4 linked regions of the Rattus norvegicus genome follow. The protein of the gene in region 2 purifies or fractionates together with the protein of the main gene of each other region. This does not show direct contact. Links are inferred from orthologs where the notes say so. Each region holds a gene or a part of one and is shown on either strand. Other genes may lie near its edges. The genes, in order: Arhgef6, Pak2, Git2 and Git1.

Region 1 (5,210 bases), on a different chromosome or scaffold from region 2:
CAAACACACCCTCTCCCTCATTCTGATTCTCCACCCCACCCCAAAACACCAGGGAGACTTTATGTTATGTGGGCCACACATATTTTGACATGTAAGCGAAGAACCCGTAAGTTATGAGCCAACAAACAAAGAGAGAAATTTGAAATATTTCCAAAGTATTAAGAGCCACAAACAGCTGTTTGGTACCCGATATAGGTCTGCCTTGGGTAACACGGCATACATACTGTGGCAACTGGTTCCGTAAGGGAAAGTTGTAGGGAAATGGGTTAGGAGAAAATGTGGTTCTGCCGCTGTTTTTCATTATACTGGACAGCAGTGGCCAGTAAGGTTAAGAAGAAAAAAGTTGGCCATTGAAAAGAAAAAAGGGAGGGGGAAGCCTAAAAACACAGCCTGTTCAGAGTGATAGTATCCCAGAAGCCACTAGGATGGCTTCGGCAATGTCCTGGGCTAGAGTGTACTGTAGGTGGTTTCCTGCTGCAAGTTTTATTTATTTATTTGTTTTCCTCTCTTCACAGATCAGCTATCAGAAAGACCATGTGGACGGTCCTCTTCTCTTAGTGCTACGACCAGCTCTCAGACAAACCCACAGGCAGCCGTTCCCAGCACAACTCCAGAGCAGCAAAGCGAGGAAAAGGCAGCGGTAAGTAGCATCTGTCCCCATTCCCTACTCCACTTTGTTTTAAAAATCTCTCAAGTGGGATGAACATCTCCCATGTATTTCCATGTGCACTGAGGTAGATATTCTGTTTGTTTGGGGTTTCACCAGAGTATGAGGTACAGAGTGAACTTCTGTTCAAGCTGGAATACTGGGAGAAAGCAGGTAGGGGAACTCCTCAGGGCTGAAGCTCTGTTGTTTACTAGAATTTAGCTAGTCACTAACTGGGAATGCTATGCAAATGTCAGTCATTATGAGTGCTCCTGATGGTCCTTTGCTGTCATTTACCCTACCCCAAGAGCTAATTAGAATGAATTATTACCTGGCACTCACAGGCAATCAATAAATACTCATTATTGTTCTGGTCTTGATTGCAGTTTCTTTTGTTTCCTTGCATTCCTATTGAGCAAGAAGGAAGCTTAGCTGGATGTGGTGGCACAAACCTGCATTCCCAGCTCTTTGGAAACTGAGGCAGGAACATCACTAGTTTGAGGTTAACCTGGGCTATATTGTACATTCAAGTTTGGTGTGTAAAAGAAGAACCACTTTTAAATATGAGCCCATGATACATCTCTATACTGGATCTCCTAGTTGTCTTCAAATCTGCTCTTAGACCTATGGTTCTCACCTTCCTAAAGCTGTGACTCTTCAATACAGTACCTCGTGTTTTGGTGACCCCCAACATAAATAAAATCATTTTCACTGCTACTTCATAACTGTAAGTTTGCTCCTGTTATGAATCATAATGGAAATATCTGTGATTTCTTATGGTCTTATGCAGCCCCTGTGAGAGGTTTTCAACCTCCAAAGGGGTCTCCACCCACAGCTTAAGAACCACAATCTTAGAAACTTTGATTTTGGAGGAAATGCCATTTTCTATTCTTTCACTCTTGTCAAAGATATTGGCTTACTGTAGGCCACCACAACTTGTTATTTCCAGAACGTCTAAACAGGTGCTTCTTATCCTTTTGAGGTCACCTCTTCCTTCTCATTCTTTTCAGATAGGCTCTCGCATAACCCAGCAGGGCATAAAACTTGCTATGTCCTGGGGAAGGTTGGGGGGAGAATGACCTTGAACTTCTGATCCTCCTGCCTCCGCCGGCTAAGAACTAGGATTACAGGTGTGTGCAATCGTACTTGGTTTGCACAATGCTGGGGATCTAAGCAGGGCTTCTTGAATGCCAGATAAGCACTCGGCCAACTATGTTACTGCCAAGCAGCCCCATAGAAAAGCTGTTGAATGCTATGACACCATATTCTTTGCCCTCTCTTAAACTGTGTATAAAAGCTCATGTGGGTAACCTAATATGAGCAAAGAAAGCTACACTGGGTTTATGAGAGTCTCATAAGGATCTATGACCTTCAGATGTTAAACCCAGAACTTCTGACTTACATAATTGTGACTGTTATGAGGTAGTGTCATAGAGCCCAGGCTGACCGTGAACTCTCTGTGTAGTGGAGGATACCCGTGAACTCCTTATCTTTTCCCCTTCAAATCCTAAGTGTTCAGATCATGCATGTGTACCTTCACCTATCCAGCTTAATATTGATCACAGCCTAACTGATCTTTACTTATGACGGGGCGCTGGCCTACTTCAGATTTGTTAGTAACTGTGAGGTGGGAGTGATTTTTCCAAGAGTAGGTTAGTAGCTAATATTTACACCGAGTTTTATGTTGGAGAGAAGCAAGATGGAATGGTGTATTAGTTTACTTTAGTAGCTTGTTCAGCTAAGTAGCCAGGTTTAGAAAATGAAGAGGAGAATGAAAGCTGTGACTCTCTCAAAAATATATGTTCTGAGAAATGCAATTTTTATTTTAAAATTTATTATTATGGTTGTTGTTGTTTGTGTGTTTTATCTGTGTATGAATGCAGATGCACGTGAAGATCAGGGAACACCTTTTAAGAGTCAGTTCCTTCCTTCCTTCTTTCCTTCTTTCCTTCCTCCCTTCTTTCCTTCTTTCCTTCCTTCCTTCTTTCCTTTTTTCCTTCCTTTCCTCCCTCCCTCCCTCCTTCCCTCCCTCCTTCCTTCTTTCCTTCCTTCCTTCCTTCCTTCCACCATGGGCTCCAGGAAGGGAACTCAGGTCATCATCTCCCTGAAAACATTTGCATATGGATACGAAGGGGTTGGTAAATTCCCCTGGACCTATTTGTAGACTCCTAGATTCAAAGCTGAGGCTAGGCTAGGCAAGGCAGAATGTCATATGCCTGCAATCCTAGATTCTGGGAGGCTGAAAGGCAGGAGAACTGCTGTGAAGCCTGCCCAGTGTACAGAGTGAAGCCCTGGCCAGTCTGAGCTAATATGAGACATTGTCAAAAAAACACAAAAATAAAGTAATCAAATGAAATGAGCTTGGAGTTTTACTCTTTTTTAAATTGAAAAAAAATGTGGGTATAGGTGTTTTTTTAAAATAATCTTTTTTTGGGGGGGGGTTCTTTTTTTCGGAGCTGGGGACCGAACCCAGGGCCTTGCGCTTCCTAGGTAAGCGCTCTACCACTGAGCTAAATCCCCAGCTCCAGGGTATAGGTGTTTTATCTGCATTATGTCTGTTCACCACTTACAAAAGTGCCCAAAAAGGCCAGAAAAAGGCATCAGATTCCCTGGAACTGGGATTACAGATGTTTGTGAGCTGCCATGTGGGTGCTGGAAATCCAACCTAGGTCCTTAAGAGGAACCAGCATTGTTAACTGCTGAACAGATTCCTGGGGTTATAATTTTCATCACTCCACTTTGTCTACATATGCATAATGTCTATGCATGTATCCATTAGCTAGACAGTTAATCTGATGTGGCTTTTGTTTCTCTAGGAGATGACGGAAAATGGAAGTCACCAGTTGATAGTAAAGGCAAGATTCAACTTCAAGCAGACCAATGAAGATGAATTGTCAGTGTGTAAAGGGGACATCATTTATGTCACTCGAGTTGAAGAAGGAGGCTGGTGGGAAGGCACATTAAATGGGAGAACCGGATGGTTCCCTAGTAATTATGTTCGAGAAATTAAACCCAGTGGTAAGTAAAGCTTTTAAAGTCTTAAAACTCGTTCTTTCTTGGCATTGTTATTGAAAATGTTTTATTTTAAATTGTTTAACACAGTTGATACATGTATGTCCAAAATAAGACTAGACTAGAACTGGGAATAATTAGATATGTTGAAACAAAGCTGTATTTAGATTACGGGAAAGCTAAATAAGCAAAGGAATCCAATGTTCAGGCAACTGCTCGACTGTAAGCATGAGCCTCTCTGCCCACTGAGTCTAGCCCAGAGTCCTTCCTGCTCCTCTCAGAATCACCATGGCAGAGGACAATAACAAGAGAAGCTGAGAGCTGACTTCCCTTTTTAGCTCTCCAGTCTTTCAGCAGACGTCAAGACTGTTAAGACTGCCTCAGAGATGTGTGAGAGAGATAACAGTCTCCCTGCAGAAAGCTGTCTGACCACTTTGAGAACAAGGTTGCCCTTAGCTTATTGTAAATCATGAGCTACTTTTCCCTTTCTTGAACAATGAACACAAAATAGACTCCAATTGCTCTTGAGAAGTCTCTTTCAGAGGCTTTTGGTAACTTATTTGTCCTTCTTAAAAAAGAAGGAAGATTCTTCTTAGAATAATAAGCAGAAATTAGCAGTCTTGTGGTGTATATCTGGTATCCTAGCCCTGGGGAAGTAGAAGCAGGCGGGTTAAGAGTTTAAGGTTATCCTTTCCTATAAAAGAAGTTTTAGCTTGGACTACTTCAGACTTTGTCTCAAACCAACCAACGACAGAAATAGACAGAACCCTTCCAGAACCAGTTTATGATAATACATAGACAGATAAAAGTGCTGTTATCATAGCTCTTCTTTTCTAAAAAAAATATTTACCCAAGGGCTCCTTTCAGTGGCTTGATTCCCAGTGTCTTACTTCTTTTGTATGTACTCGTTTTTATTTTAGTGCTTCCAAACTGGTAGGTCTAGTGGATTAAGGTGCTTCCAACCAAGTGTGTCTATCTGAGTTCAAGCCCCAAGACCCACAGAGTAGAAGGCAAGAAACAACTGCCAAGGGTTATTCTCCGACCCCAAGATATACAGCAGAGTGCATGCCTCCTAAAGCAAACAAATAATTTTAATTAAAAAATAAAAACCAATATTGTATGGGCCAGTGAGCTGCCCCGCGGGAGAAGGTGCTTGCTGTACAGCCTGGCCCTTGTCTGATCCTAGAACCCATGGAAACGTGGAAGGAGAGAAGCAACTGCCTAGAGCAGCCACTTCTTGACCTCGGCATGGCTGGAGAGCCCTTCCCCTACACACATCATGCTCACATATACACAGAATATCTTTTCACAATGATACTTTTAATTAATGAAAATATAGACTCACTCTAAATAAAATATTCCATAAGTATAGTATAGTTGCTGAAAATTCCTTCTCCTTCCGTAGCTTTTTTCAGGTAACTATCGCTTTAAGAAGATATTCCTTCAAGAACTTAAGTTGTAATTTAGCCGTGCCACTTTCTGTGTTCTAGGATAGGGGATGGGAGCGTCTCATTTAATGGAATGTGTTTGTGTTTGTGAAGGATTTATAAAT
Region 2 (5,210 bases):
AGTGATTGCTAATTGAGAAAAGGTTTCTTTTTTGTTTGTTTGTTTGTTTAAAAATTTATTTATTATATATAAGTACACTGTAGCTGTCTTCAAACACACCAGAAGAGGGCGTCAGATCTCATTACAGATGGTTGTGAACCACCATGTGGTTGCTGGGATTTGAACTCAGGACCTCTGGAAGAACAGTCAGTGCTCTTAACAACTGAGCCATCTCTCCAGCCCGAGAAAAGGTTTCTTTAGGGGTTGATAAAATATACTAGTTATATGGTGATAATGATTGTGACATTATGAATATATTAAACCTCATTGGATCATACATACAACTCAAACAAGTAAATACAGCATAGATGGGAAAGAATAATAAAACTAGATTCAGCCAATTGCAAAAAATGATCAATAAAGCAGCCGAAACTGTAGCCTATAGGAACTCTACTTTTTTTTTATATTTTGTTTTGTTCGAGATGAGGTTTCACTGTGTAGCCTTGGTTGTTCTGGAATTTGCCCTGTAGACCAGGCTGGCCTTGAACTCATAGAGATCTGCCTACCTCTGCCTCTGCCTCCCGAGTGCTAGGATTAAAAGCATGTGCCACTACCACCTGTTTATGTGAAGTAGTAGTTGTTGTTGTTGTTGTTGTTGTTGTTGTTGTTGTTGTTTTAAATTGCATGTCAGGTTATAATGAAAGGTTTGCTGGAATTGGGAGTGAAAGCCAGGGCGGAGCATCTGGTTAGCCCATACAAGCCCAGGTTCAGTCTTCACTAAGGCACAATGGAATGTTATATACAAGTATGTACTGATAAATTCAAGTTATGGAAAGTGAATTTTTTTCTTAAACGATATAGATTTCCAAAGTTTACTTTTATAAAAATGATTAAAGACTGTGTATGTCCTAGAAGAATTGAGTTTATAGCTAAAACCCTTTCTACAAAGAAAATTATTAAAACCTACCTATCTTCATTAGTGAATCAATAAAATGTTTATGGATGAAATAAAACAATTCTATATAATTTCCATAAAATAGAATATGAGATGTTTCTGACACATTTAGTGACTTCAGTTTACCCAGACCAAAACATTACAAGAGAGCTATATTTTTCTCTTGAAGTTGGCGAAGTTTTAACAGTGGTACTCCAACAATGTGTGAGAAGAGCGATAGACCAGGGCCAGATAGAGCTTGTTTCATGACTGCAAGGACGATTAAGGTGGTGTAACTTAGGATAAGCAGTGTGGTTGTACAAGTAGAAAAGACACTGAACATAACTCAACATTCATTTCTGACATGTGCTGAGCAAACTTGAAATCAAAGGAAATGTAATAAATTTGATAAAGGGCATGTTAGAAACATTGACTGTTTATTAAACTAAAAAAAACTGACTATTTTCATTTCCTGTTTCAGTAAAAACACAAAAATACTTACTAAGGCCTTTACTTAACCATGGTCTGGGGACTAGCCAATTCAGTAAGGTGCGATGAATGAAAGAGTAAGAAAGCTCCAAATTAGGAAGGATATGGCCACCTCTCTTTGGTTCACTATAGCATATTACTTATAGAAAACTCTGTGAGGCCTACACAGATTTTAAAGTAAGTAAGAGAGTGTTCAAAGGTCAGGCCTAAAGAATGAAGTTTATTTTGTGTTCTCTGGTGGGGCTGATCCCTGTGCTCCAGTCATGCTAAGCAAGCAAGCTACCTCTGAGTTACACTCCAACCCACAAACTGTAGCGTCAAAAATAAGTATTCCTTTACAGAAATATGAAAGTAATGGCAGGGTCAGTATTCTGTCTCCCAATAACTAGCAAACATTGCTGAGAGAAATTAAACTCCTAATTTATAAAGATTTGTTATTGGCCATGGATCAGAAAGCAAAATGTGTATAAATTCTAAGTTGATTTATAGGTTAATGCAGTTCCCGTCACAGCCTGAGAAGGCTTTTTGTAGAAATGTAAAGCATTGTTAATTTCATATAGAAATGTAGAGGACCTGAAATCATCCTAGCAGATTTGAAAACAGTAAAAAAAAAAAAAAAAAAAAAAAAAAGGCCTTAGACTGTTCTTTTGATGTTTGTTATAAGGATGACAGTAATCAAGGTACACGGGGTTGGCATAATGATAGAGAGATGACTTTAAGAGAGCAGAGCATCCAGAAATAGATTCATGGTTTTAAGAGCTACAGATTAGAGGAGGAGGACTGGAGAGGAGAAGGAATTGATGTGTTTAAATGTGCAAAAAATGTTACTGATGTTGCAGTAATTTTTTTTACAGTGCAACTATAGGAGAGTTGGGTAATTTAAAGATGTAATATTTACAGACTGTAATAAAAAGGAAAGTATAAGCCAGGTATGGTGACTCATGCATTCAATCTTAATATTCTTAGGCTATACAGGAGAATTGCCATGAATTTGAGGCCAGTGTGGGCTGGAAAATGAGGCCCTGTCTCAGAAAAGCAAGTTGGAAGAAGAGGAAGGGAATGAAGGAAGAAATCAGCTTTCACAAGTGGCGTTTGTAAATTGTGTCATTGGAGGCCCCCTCCGTCAGGGCGCGAGATGTGTGTACCTGGGTCCTATCATAATTTTATTCATAATTGGTTTCAGGAAAATACAAACACAGTAACAAATGCCATAATTAGCTTTGTTTAAAGAGATAATTTTCTCCCTCATCCCTCAGGAAGTAAAAAGAAAGAAAAAGAACGGCCAGAGATTTCTCCGCCGTCTGATTTTGAGCATACCATCCATGTTGGCTTTGATGCTGTTACGGGAGAGTTCACTGTAAGTTACCAATTGAAGTTTGTTTATTAAAGCAGTGCTGAAAGGTTGGGGAATCGCTCTGTGGACAGAAGCACTCACTAGCTGGGCAGTAGCAGCCTTTAATCCAGGACTGGGGAGGCAGAGGCAGGTGGATCTCTAACTTCAGGACCAGTTTGGTCTACATGGTTTCAGGACAGTCAAAGCTGCATGGAGAAACCCAGTCTCCAAAACGTGAGAGAGAGAAAGACCTACTATGCAAGTATGAGGACCTGAGTTCAAATCTCCAGCTTGCACATAACCAGATAAAGTAATTGTAGTGCTCCTACTATGTAGTGGGGGACAAGAGAGACTGCATGCTCATGGAGTTGTGTGGTTATGGTGACGCAGTAAGAGCAAGCGACCTTTCTCAAGGAGGAAGACAACCATGCCTGAGATGATCCACTGGCTTCTGAAAATGTGCACACAGTCAAAATAAGAAACCAAAAAAGGAACTCCAGCATTTTGTTCAATGTTAGGCTTAAAATTAACTTTTCTCTCTGGTTTTTTGAGACTGGATTTTTATGTAGCCCAGGCTGGCCTCCCACAAACTTTATTTTGTAGTTAAGGCTGGTCTTGAATTTAGTCCTCCTGTCTCTGCTGTCCATGTGCCAAGGTGATAACTATGGGGTCACATGACTGGTATTGAACTTTTCTATCCCATATGATGATCCTTTCTTTATTTGTTGTTGTTGTTTGTTTAAAACAAAGTTCACTATGTCCCAGTAAAACCTGGAATTCTAAATTCTCCTGCTTTTAGGTGTCAGAGTGTGGGGTTATACACTGACTACATAGAATTAGTTATCAATTCTTACTGGTCATAAAAATATTAGTGTGACTCAGAAAATTAGAGCATTTGTTGCTCTTGCAGAGGATCTGGGTTCCGTGTCCAGCACCCACATGTGGCTCACAATGATCCACAATTCTAGTTCCGGTGTATCTGACACCTGTTTCTGACCTCTGAGGGCATGAAACATATAGGTGGACATACGTACATGCAGGCAGAATAGTCAGTCACATACAGAGCATAGCCTTCAAAGGGATTAGTAATTGGATGACCCTTTTCTCCAGAGAGCCAAGCCTATCAATTATAGTTATGAAAAACAGGTACAGAGTGTGATGGTTTGTATAGGCTTGGCCCAGGAAGTGGCACTATTAGAAGGTATGGCCCTGTGGAGTAGGTGTGCCATTGGGTGTGGGCTTTAAGACCCTCATTGTAGCTGCTTGGAAGTCAGTGTGTTCCGCTAGCAGTCCTCAGATGAAGACATAGAACTCTCAGCTCCCCCTGCTCCATACCTGTCTGGACACTGCCATGTTCCCACCTTGATGATAATGGACTGAACCTCTGAACCTGTAAGCCAGCCCCAATTAAATGTTGTCCTTATAAGAGCTGCATTGGTCATGGTGTCTGTTCACAGCAGTAAAACCATGACTAAGACACAGAGAAATGAACTTTTAGGGATAGGATGATGGCTCAGTTGGCAAAATGCTTATCTTGCAAGTATGAAAAGATCTGAATTCAGATCTTTCCTTAAAACTCATAAAAAGCCAAATGCTGGGGCTGGGGATTTAGCTCAGTGGTAGAGCGCTTACCTAGGAAGCGCAAGGCCCTGGGTTCGGTCCCCAGCTCCGAAAAAAAGAACCAAAAAAAAAAAAAAAAAAAAAAAAGCCAAATGCTGTTGCGTGATTCCACGCTCCCAACCTATTTGGTAGCATTTTAGGCCAGTAGAAGATCCTATCTCAAACAAAATTTGGAAGGTACTGGAGGACCACACTAGAGCCTGTCAGTTGACCACATAGTCCTTTTAAAAAAACCTAGACTTTTTGCCAGACATGGTGGCATACACTTTTAATCCCAGCATTTGAGGTAGGTTGATCTCTGAATTTGAGGCCAGCATGGTCTACAGAGTAAGTGAATCCTAGGACGGCTGAGGTTACACAGAGAAACCCTGTCTCAAAAAACAGAATAAAACCACTGTACATTTTAATCCCAATACTAAGGCAACTGTGGGCAACTAAGGCAACTGGAATTTAAAATATTTTGAGTTCCAGGCCAGGCTGGGCTATATAGTTAAAACTCTGTGTCAAAAATAAGTGAGTAGGGCTGTAGAGGGCTCAGGTTCGGAGCACTGGCTGTTCTTGCAGGAGACCTGGTTCAGCTCCCAGCACCCACACAGCAGCTCAGAGCCTTCCGTAACACGACTGCCTGGGTGTTGTCGTTGGCCTGTGAAATGTTTTTCATTAGAGCATTAAACCGTAACTGATTTGTGGATTTCTTTTGGTTAGGGCATGCCAGAGCAGTGGGCACGGCTGTTGCAGACCTCCAACATTACCAAACTGGAGCAGAAGAAGAACCCGCAGGCTGTGCTGGATGTCTTGAAGTTCTACGACTCCAACACTGTGAAGCAGAAGTACCTGAGCTTCACTCCTCCTGGT
Region 3 (5,828 bases), on a different chromosome or scaffold from region 2:
GCCGAGGACATGGCGAGGAGGTCGCCACCCAGGCCTGACCGCCCGCCTGCCACCAACCTGGACCCACCCGACGGGGTCTCGGGGGCCCGCCCGACCGGACGGAGAGCGAGGGGAGGAGAGCGGCGAGCGGCCAAGTGCCGGGCGCAGCGGACGACAAGGGCCTCCGAGTCCGGAGCGGGCGGCGCGGGAGGCCCGGGGTCGCGGGCCGGGCTGGGGACCGGCTCGGGGACCCGCTCGGCCGCGCCCACCCCGCGCCCCGCGCGCTCGCGCCCGCGCTGACAGCTAGCGAACCGACTGCTGCCGGCCGAACCGCCCCGAACAGGGAAGTACGCGAGGCGTTCCATCACGCTCCGCGGAGGGGGACCTGACTTCCTGAACGGACCGAGTCCCGCTCCATGTCGCCCCACCAAGCCCCCACGCCTGGACACACGACCACCACCGTTCTGTGGAACTGCGGGACCCTTGGGAAGCCCGAGATCTCCACGCACAAAACCCACTGTGCGCGCCCTCCGACTCTCGTCCCCTGCCCGGCCTTCTCCAGTGGTGCGCTCCACAATCGGGCCTCTTCCATCGGCTCTGCCGCCCGGGGGTGCACGCGCAGGCCTGGACCAAACCATCGGACTGGAGCCTCCCTCAGCCGCCGCCTTCCGCGATTGGTCGGAAACCATTTTGGAAGTGGGCAGCGTGAAATCGTGTTCACAGGAGATCTGGACCCCGGATAAGTGACACCAGATACCCTCACTATCGGGGTAGTTGTGTCTCTGGGCTTTTAAACTTTGCAGTGTTTGAACTGGGGGGTTCTGTGCGCGGAGGTCATCCGATGCTTTGTAAGTTAGGGTGGACGCTCGCCTGTTCCATGCTGTCAGTACTCACACTATCCCCCAAACTGTCTCCAGACACGGGCAGTTTTTTCCCCTGGAGGAAGAAAACCGCCCTGTTGAAAACCGCTGTTCTGTCTGAATTTCCAACTCGGCTATAATTCAAAGTGCTTGCCGTGAAGGTTTATCCCGCATCAGCCTCACTAAGCTAACCACTCAGATTTAGGATTGTGGCCCAGAGGAGTATCCAGGTTGGTCCACAGTATGCACAAGTAAAATTCATCCTTTGGGTTGCGACTTCAGACACTGTGTCTTCTCGTCACAACGAAGAAACAAGTGCTGTCTCTGCCCAGGTGTTTACAGCTGCCACGAAGTCCTCCAGTGCAACCTGCAAAGCACCCCCTCTTCCTTATTGGCTCTATATACACAACCCATCTCTTCAGATGAGTGCGAAGGCTGTCCAAGAAAACTGACCACGTCCATTCTGCTCGGGTCTGGAGTCCTTGAAGAGTGAATGGAGCTAATACAGGATACAGTGACATAAAGACGGCACCTAGGGGCTGGAGAGATGGCTCAGAGGTTAAGAGCATTAACTGCTCTTCCAGAGGTCCGGAGTTCAATTCCCAGCAACTACATCGTGGCTCATGACCATTGGGATTCTATACCCTTTTTTCGTGTGAGCTGCAGCGTACTCACATACAATAAATAAATAAATAAATAAATAAATAAATAAATAAATAATAAATAAATAAATATTTTCTTAAAAAACGATGGTACCTAAAAGCTCTAATGGCAACTATCCATCACGTTGGATAAACACATTAGACTTCTGAGGCCTCTTCTGGACATAAACTTCACCGTTGTCTCTGGGAGATTATATGTATAGAGTTTTTGTCACAAGGCCTTGCTTCTTCCTCTGGTCCTAATCAGTCCTGGGACAAGAAATCACTTCCCAGATGGAAGATCCCAATTGCGAGAGTATCTAGAGACAGTCACAGGAGGCTTGGGCAGACCTCTGCCCTCATTCAAGATGGCGATAAGGAAGCGTGCCCTTTCCGGTCACATGACCCGCTGGGGCTCCGCAGGACGTCTCCCCGCGCGTGCGCAGTGCGCCGGGGCTGCGAGGCGCTGAGGGGAGAGGCGCCGCCAGCGCCGCCCGGGGACCCGTTAGAGCGGAAGCGCAGCCGCCGCCTCTGCCGTCGCGGGGTTCCCGGCAGGTGAGGTGGGAGCCATGTCGAAGCGTCTCCGGAGCAACGACGTGTGCGCCGACTGCAGCGGGCCTGGTGAGTGACGCCGGGCCCGCTCGCCGCGCTCTCCGGGCCGGGACCCCTGGCGGGGCGGTCCCCGCGGGCGGGAGCTTGACTGCGGCCCACTCACGCCGACCCCCGGGCGGCCGGGGCGCGAGACCGTCCCGGGCCTGTCAGCCTCAGGGTCCGAGGCTCCCTCCCTCCCGCGGCCCGGCAGAACGCAGAAGCAGAGGGCCTGGGACCGGACGGGACGGGAGGGGACGGAACGGGTTAGGCAGCCCCGGAAGGCCAGTGACAGGACAGGAGTCAGAGGCGGGCGGCCCGCGGCTGCAGGTGTTTCCCCTTCCCGGTCTCCCGCCCGCTGCGCCGTCCCACGGGCCCCAGGTGGAGGACCGCCCTACTCCGGGCGGCCGCTCCTGGGAGACAGACAGCCCCAGGTCGGGAGAACAAGTTTGAGGGTCTGAGTTCCCACCATATTTTGCCTCTGTGTGACCTTGGACTAATGGCTTTTCTTGTTCAAACCTTGATTTCCTCGGTTTTGGTCCCCCCGACCCCCCATGGAAACCCTCGCCAGTGCAGTGTGCACCGTGGTCAATGGATGTTCCCTGGGGATCATCTCTTTTGTAGGATGTCAACTCAGTTCAAAACCCCTTGTCGTTCGTTCCTTTAGTGACGTTTTGGCTTCAGAGTCGCACCAAACTAACACACTTGTCGCTGGCGGTATAAACTCCGCGACTTCGAAGTGCCAAAGCTGTTCTTACTGCAGATAGGACTTGGATTTGAACATTGGATCTGGCTTTGCAGTTGGGACCCAACTGACAGGTCGTGCTCTATTCAGGTCTTTAGGTGCTCATTTCGGTCCTTTGGACTTTTCGGGTTTGAAGTCAAATATCAGATGACTTTCTTGGTGCAGCGAGCAGTGTTCAGTAAACAGTCTTAATTGAGCCATTGAACATCCGCAGCTTGCAACTGGTTTTTCCTCTCCATCTTGTCATTTGGAAGCAGAGATTGGTTTTAAGTTGTTCCGGGGTAGCCTGTACTGGTTATCTCATGGCCTGGGTCCTACAGCTTTACAAGTGAAAGATAAAGGGAGACAGGAACAGTTTTAAAAGAGGGGCTTTATTTGAAAGCCAGGTTTATACTATCATTTCTAACATAGCTAACCGATGCTGTCTGTTCCGCTTCCTTCTTTTCTTGCCTGTGTTGATTCAAGTGTGTCTAACTTAAAACTTCCTCTTGGGAAGCGTGCTTCTTATTCCTCCAGGGGGATGGTACATGGCAGAGGCGGATGGCCTCCCCTTGGCATGCCGAACACTGTCTTGTCCATTCGTGGTATTTCAGGACCTTTTCTGTTGTTTTCATATTAGAAGTCTTGAAAAAAATCTAAAAAGGCTTGAGTCACTTCCTTCCTGTTTTGAGTAGAATGAAGCTACCTTGAAGGGTTAGGGACCAACTAGGAATGTGTGCTGCCTTTTGTGCACCGCTCAGGCCAAGGGTTACCTGTAGGACTAGGGCTCATTTGAAATCCTCATGCTAAGGCCTTCTCAGAAGTTGCTCAAATACTTAACTCTCCTGGACAACATTTGCATGAGATGAGTAGGGGCACAGATACTTTTGAAATCCATTTGTGGTGTTCATGGAGCCTGATTAAAAAGTCCTGCCTTGGGGTTGGGGATTTAGCTCAGGGGTAGAGTGCTTGCCTAGCAAGCGCAAGGCCCTGGGTTCGGTCCCCAGCTCTGGGAAAAAAAAAAAAGTCCTGCCTTCCAGATAGACTGGAAGGGCTTCACCCAACCTTACTAATTAAAAAGCTTAAATTTCATTTTGTGTGCGGTCAGTGTTCTTTCCATGGGTTTCTGATCCATGCGCTCAAGTGACTGATGGAGACCACTGCGTGATTCGTGGTAAGACGTTGCTGTCCTTTTCTGCCTGGTTTGCCCCGAGAGAACTGTGGACCTCTGATAATGAAAATCAAAGCCACACTTCCAGTCTTAATGTTAATGCCTTGCTGCAGAAGGCAGCGCTGGTGCATGCCTGCGTGAAGAGCCTCGAGTCTCCCACCCTTGCTTGCTCCTTAGAATGCCTGGTAGCACCAACGGTGAAATCTTTCCTGTTTTTGTTCTAGAAGCCACACTCCACTGTGATTATGTCTGTTTGCCTTTGTGTGCCAGGGATCAAAGCCAGGTCCTCACAATTGCAAGGAGAGCCACACCCTCTGGGCCCTGATTTCTTGTTTGTTTTTAATGAGTCTCGTTCATTTAAAATGCACCTTTCCTGCCCCACAGTGGCAGACACTATATTTATTTATTTTTTTCTTTTTTTGGGGGACCGAACCCAGGGCCTTGTGCTTGCTAGGCAAGCGCTCTACCACTGAGCTAAATCCCCAGCCCCTTATTTTTATTCTTTACATCGTCCCTCCTGTGAGATGTGTCACTATTCCACTTCGGTCCACAGTGAAGACACTCAAAGAAGCAGCTTGCCTCGTCAGATTATTGCACAAGATGTGACGGCAGGGTTGGGATTCAAACCATGGACTGTTTGTCTCCATAACCAACCCTCTTAACCACTGCACGCTCTGGCTCCCAGGGTTTTCTCTGATTGAAGTCCCACAACTTTTCATCACATGGTTTGCAAGGGTTGGAATGAACTTACAAATGGTAAAGATGTCTACATGCATCTCAGAGATTCTTACAGACACTGAAGAATTTAAAATGTAACCCTTATGCCAGGCAGCTAGAGTAGCACCTAGTGTCACCCCACTGTGAGTCTGATGAGATGGGGTTACTCACCCATGTGCATCCTACCCACCCAGTGTGAATTATTCCTTGTATGACAGGTTGTCGGAAGTTTTGTGGGATTTTTAAAGGGAAAAGGTACTGTACTCAACCAGAAGTACCATTCATTTTTGTTTTATGTCTGTTGGTTTGAAGCATCTTTCTTCAGATCAGCTGCACGACTGGATCCAGCAGGTGATCTAAAGCAGACCTGTCAGAGAGCATCATCTGAGCAGAGCGGACAACCCTTGCTTGCCTTCAGGCGCGGCAGCCGGGTGCTTCTGCTGTTCTCTTCTGGCTTCTGTTAGCACATGGGTCTGGACTTCCTGTTTCGGGCAGCAATAAATTCACAATTTACCTTAGCTACTGTTACACAGATAATCCACTGTCAGGTCACACAGCTCTGTTAGTCACAAAAAGGGGCTCAACTCGGTCACCCAGCTGGTGATCAGTGGTAGAGTGCTTGCCCTGTAAGGACAAGGCCCCAGGCTCAGTCTCCAACACCGCAGGAAAACAGTGGAGTGATCTACCTCTGCTGCCTCAATCTGCCACTTTAACTAGCGTTCCCTGAGAGCACGTGTCTGTGGTGTACACCCACATCCAGGCTGCAGACTGTGGCCTGCACAGGAAGGTGACTGCTGTGTGAGGCTGCCAGTCTACTTAGCAGAGTAATCACAAGGCGGGTAGGATCACCAGCTTCCTATCTAAGGAGCATATCAAACAACAAGACATGTTCTGTTTTTCTTAAAAAGCAAACGTCAGTCATCTTTTGCTATGCCTGTGCACAGCCACCAACTGGTGTCCTTACCACTGAGGTGTTGTTCTTTTTCCAGATCCTTCCTGGGCATCAGTGAACAGGGGGACTCTCATATGTGATGAGTGCTGCAGTGTTCATCGGAGCCTAGGGCGCCACATCTCCCAAGTCAGGCATCTTAAACACACACCATGGCCTCCAACCCTGCTTCAGGTAAGTGACAGGAAGAATTCTCAGA
Region 4 (4,017 bases), on a different chromosome or scaffold from region 2:
AGGGTCTGAGGAAGAAGGAAATGGGGGATGGCTTCTTGTAGCTGAGAGTGGACAGAGAAACAAGCTGGGGAGGCAAAGTCTCTTGCGTGTTCTGTTTTGGGTGTGTGTGGAGATGTGTCTGAGCTTGACATGGGAAGGCAAGAGCCGCCTGCCCCTGGGTAATTGCTGCTCTGTCCTGTTCTTCCCTTTGCTGCCTTCCTGGATTAGATCTCGGCAAAAGTGCATGTCTCAGAGGTACCCACACCTGTTGGCTGCAGGCTGTGAAGTTTGGGTGTTGGGGGGGGGGGTTGGTGTGTGACCTCGGGGTCTCATCTCCCTGAGTTCCCTGCATGCTTGGGAGGTAACCAGCAGGGCCCAGACCGTCCCTCATGTCTGGCCTCTCTCCTCCCTCCTTTGTCCACAGTTTGGATCTGTCTGAATTGGCCAAAGCTGCCAAGAAGAAGCTACAAGCAGTGAGTCTGCCTCAACAAGCTAGGACTTCTTAGAGCAGCCCTCTCCAGCCTTGCCAGGCTCCTCCCTCCAGTCACCTCCCCATGCCCTTGTCTTGATCCTGGTTCTGCCCTCCAAGTGTGTGTCCAGAGCCTCGCCTCTGGGAGGAGGAAGTAACCTGGACTCTTCCTTGCACATAGAACCTCACCCACCCCTCAGTTCTAGGACAGGCTGGGTGACAGCGGGGTCATGAAACTTCCCACATCACACAGCCTCCTGACAGACCCTGGGCCCCCTCTCTGCCTCTAGCTCAGCAACCGGCTCTTTGAGGAGCTCGCCATGGATGTGTATGACGAAGTGGACCGGAGAGAAAATGATGCAGGTGAGGGAGAAGGGACCTGCCACAAAGAGCCAGGACCCAGTGAACCAGGGAAGGGGGTGCTGCTCAGAGGCCACTGGAGTCCCTGTCACACACGACCCCCTCCCCCATACACCCTTGGGCAGCGCTAAGCTGTCAGCAGCCAGCCGCCTCTCTACCCACCAGGCACTGGGGCTCATCTTGCTCTGGCTGCCTCCCACTCTGGCTGTCTCCTCAGCCATGCTCCACCCCTACCCTGCATCACTCCTCCCTGGCCACAGCCAGATTCCAACCCAAACTCTGGGTCTGGCCTGGTGGGCCCTGCCTTGTTGTGTTGTCAGTGGGCGGGCCTCACTGGGCCTGGCCCAGAGTTTGTGTTGGTGGAGACCCTGCTTCCTGCCACACTGGCCCAGTCTGAATAGAGGAGGGCCTGGGGGGCTCTGCTCAGTGCTCCTCCCCCTCTTCTCTGAGGGTGCATTCACAGTGGGTGATCTGCTCCCTGCCCTTCCCCCACAGTGTGGCTAGCTACCCAGAATCATAGCACCCTGGTGACAGAACGCAGTGCTGTGCCCTTCCTGCCAGTCAACCCTGAATACTCAGCCACTCGGAATCAGGTGAGGAGGGATAGGCAGGAGGCCTGGATGGTTTCCTCTCTGAGAGCCCTGCCCTTCCTGCCAGAGACAAGCTGGCACCCAGGCAGGCTCTCCTGAGGCCTCCCTCAGGATCTGACTAGGAATGGCATGAAGCTATTCTCTAGTACTGGTGGGTACTTCAGCCTCCTAAGGGCTCCCTTGGGTGCCTTTGCTGACCTGGGCTGCCACACTGCTGATGTGGGGCTGGGTGTTTTAGCTACAAATAGGCGGATGGCAGGGTCCTGCTTTGTTGTCCTGTTCCAGCCCCTGAGCCAACCAGACCTGTGGTCCCTTATTCTGGCCTTGCCCTTTCTGCCTCGCAGGGACGACAGAAATTGGCTCGTTTTAATGCCCGAGAGTTTGCCACCTTGATCATCGACATCCTCAGTGAGGCCAAACGGAGGCAGCAGGGCAAGAGTCTGAGCAGCCCCACAGGTGGGAGCACGAGCAGGCCACGGCGGTGCTGCAGGCCTCGGTCACCTCTGCCCAGGCACGCGATAAATGTGTGTGACTGAGCAAGCCCTGAGACACAGGTCTTCTGTCTTTAGACAACCTCGAGCTGTCTGCACGGAACCAAAGTGACCTGGACGACCAGCACGACTACGATAGTGTGGCTTCTGACGAAGACACAGACCAGGAGCCCTTGCCCAGTGCTGGCGCCACGCGGAACAATCGTGCCAGGGTCTGAAAACTGACCCTGCTCTTCCCTCCCGTAGTCTCCTCTGTTCCTTCTGGCCTCTCTAGACCCAGCTCCATGTTTTTTAACTCCATGACCTATAGCACTGGTCAACCTCTGTCCCTGAGACTGACTGGCTTCTGTCCCTGCAGAGCATGGACTCCTCAGATCTGTCGGATGGGGCTGTGACGCTGCAGGAGTACCTGGAGCTGAAGAAGGCTCTGGCTACCTCCGAGGCCAAAGTGCAGCAGCTCATGAAAGTCAACAGCAGTCTGAGTGACGAGCTTCGGAAGCTGCAGAGGGAGGTGAGCACTGTGGCCGGGGAGTGGCAGAAAAGCATCCAAGATTCTGGGAGTGGGGTCACCCTTTCCAAAGGTGGTACCTACCTTGACCCAGAGGTGGACACCATTATGTACACTCAGATCCACAAACTGCAGGCAGAGAACCTGCAGCTCCGGCAGCCACCAGGACCAGTGCCTGTACCCTCACTTCCCAGTGAACGGGCAGAACACACACTCATGGGCCCTGGTGGAAGTACCCATCGCAGGGACCGCCAGGCCTTCTCTATGTATGAGCCAGGCTCCGCCCTGAAGCCCTTTGGAGGTGCACCTGGGGATGAGCTCGCCACACGGCTCCAGCCTTTCCACAGCACAGTGAGTAGCCTGCTGGCCTTGGTTGGGGAAAATAGGGTCACAGCTTATCATGACACTGTTCTGCTTCCCTCAGGAGCTGGAAGATGATGCCATCTATTCAGTACATGTCCCTGCTGGCCTTTACCGGGTAAGCAGGACCTGGGGACGGAGGGTGAACCCTGCACCAGTGAGTCACCAGCCCCAATAGCTGTGAAGCTGCACTGGGACACTGAACTACAGTGGGAACTGACTCTGGCCCTTCCCTGGTTTTCAGATCCGGAAGGGGGTGTCTGCCTCTTCTGTGACCTTCACTCCCTCCTCCCCACTGCTGTCAAGCTCCCAAGAAGGAAGTCGCCATGCGGTAATGTTCATCCCAGTGCCCAGGGATGGTGTGGGCTTTACAGTTCCAGATTGTGTGCTCACCCATCACCCTTCCCCCCCCCCTCCAGAGCAAGCTTTCACGCCACGGCAGTGGCGCAGAGAGTGACTATGAGAACACACAGAGTGGAGAGCCTCTGCTGGGGTGAGCATCTGTGGGTCCTCCCAGCTCTGCCAGCACCGGGGGGAGGTGGTGAGGGCCCAGCCGTGCAGGTGCAGGCAGGCCGTCAGTGACTAGAATGGCTCCTTTTCTCTCCACACGTGGATTAGACTTGAAGGGAAGCGATTCCTAGAGCTGAGCAAGGAGGATGAGCTGCACGCTGAGCTGGAGAGCTTAGATGGAGACCCAGACCCCGGGCTCCCCAGCACAGAAGATGTCATCCTAAAGACAGAGCAGGTCACCAAGAACATTCAGGAGCTATTGCGGGCAGCCCAGGAGTTCAAACATGACAGGTAGGGTGGGCACAGGTTCTTGTTAACCTGTGACTACTGGGTGGAGGGTACTGCTAACTAGGGTCCTCTGATGCTGGGACTCTGAGAAATCCCTCATCCAACTTCTCTCTTCCCTGACAGCTTTGTGCCCTGTTCAGAAAAGATCCATTTGGCTGTGACTGAGATGGCCTCTCTCTTCCCAAAGGTACAGGGGCCACAGATAAGCAGAGTGGGAGGGCCTTCGGGTGGGGCAGAGGCAGGTAAGCTGCCTGGGTGGAGCCAGTCAGAAACCTGGCTTAAAGTCCAGGGCTCATCCTCCTCCCTCCTCCCTCCAGAGGCCAGCCCTGGAGCCTGTGCGCAGTTCACTGCGGCTGCTCAACGCCAGCGCCTACCGGCTGCAGAGTGAATGCCGGAAGACAGTGCCTCCAGAACCTGGCGCCCCTGTGGACTTCCAGCTACTGACTCAGCAGGTGATCCAGT

The links.
Region 1: the proteins of Pak2 (region 2) and Arhgef6 purify together in Homo sapiens (affinity purification with mass spectrometry; 3 studies listed by BioGRID and IntAct, counting the BioPlex papers as one, with this or other methods). This does not show direct contact. The link is inferred for Rattus norvegicus from reciprocal best matches to the Homo sapiens genes PAK2 and ARHGEF6.
Region 3: the proteins of Pak2 (region 2) and Git2 purify together in Homo sapiens (affinity purification with mass spectrometry; 3 studies listed by BioGRID and IntAct, with this or other methods). This does not show direct contact. The link is inferred for Rattus norvegicus from reciprocal best matches to the Homo sapiens genes PAK2 and GIT2.
Region 4: the proteins of Pak2 (region 2) and Git1 purify together in Homo sapiens (affinity purification with mass spectrometry; 5 studies listed by BioGRID and IntAct, with this or other methods). This does not show direct contact. The link is inferred for Rattus norvegicus from reciprocal best matches to the Homo sapiens genes PAK2 and GIT1.

The regions. Positions count from the first base shown.
Region 1 is NC_086039.1:140,255,610-140,260,819, reverse strand, and holds part of Arhgef6 (rho guanine nucleotide exchange factor 6), read left to right. Parts: intron 1-515; coding exon 516-640; intron 641-3,462; coding exon 3,463-3,664; intron 3,665-5,210. UniProt on the Homo sapiens protein: Acts as a RAC1 guanine nucleotide exchange factor (GEF).
Region 2 is NC_086029.1:82,243,468-82,248,677, forward strand, and holds part of Pak2 (serine/threonine-protein kinase PAK 2), read left to right. Parts: intron 1-2,658; coding exon 2,659-2,759; intron 2,760-5,060; coding exon 5,061-5,208; intron 5,209-5,210. UniProt on the Homo sapiens protein: Serine/threonine protein kinase that plays a role in a variety of different signaling pathways including cytoskeleton regulation, cell motility, cell cycle progression, apoptosis or proliferation.
Region 3 is NC_086030.1:47,488,446-47,494,273, forward strand, and holds the start of Git2 (ARF GTPase-activating protein GIT2), read left to right. Parts: upstream 1-1,959; 5' UTR 1,960-2,049; coding exon 2,050-2,101; intron 2,102-5,669; coding exon 5,670-5,803; intron 5,804-5,828. Other genes in the region: Ankrd13a (ankyrin repeat domain-containing protein 13A), read right to left, coding at 1-344. UniProt on the Homo sapiens protein: GTPase-activating protein for ADP ribosylation factor family members, including ARF1.
Region 4 is NC_086028.1:62,849,224-62,853,240, forward strand, and holds part of Git1 (ARF GTPase-activating protein GIT1), read left to right. Parts: intron 1-207; coding exon 208-234; intron 235-403; coding exon 404-452; intron 453-738; coding exon 739-811; intron 812-1,303; coding exon 1,304-1,401; intron 1,402-1,742; coding exon 1,743-1,854; intron 1,855-1,967; coding exon 1,968-2,101; intron 2,102-2,247; coding exon 2,248-2,400; intron 2,401-2,517; coding exon 2,518-2,748; intron 2,749-2,821; coding exon 2,822-2,875; intron 2,876-3,001; coding exon 3,002-3,088; intron 3,089-3,176; coding exon 3,177-3,250; intron 3,251-3,375; coding exon 3,376-3,558; intron 3,559-3,678; coding exon 3,679-3,742; intron 3,743-3,872; coding exon 3,873-4,017. UniProt on the Homo sapiens protein: GTPase-activating protein for ADP ribosylation factor family members, including ARF1.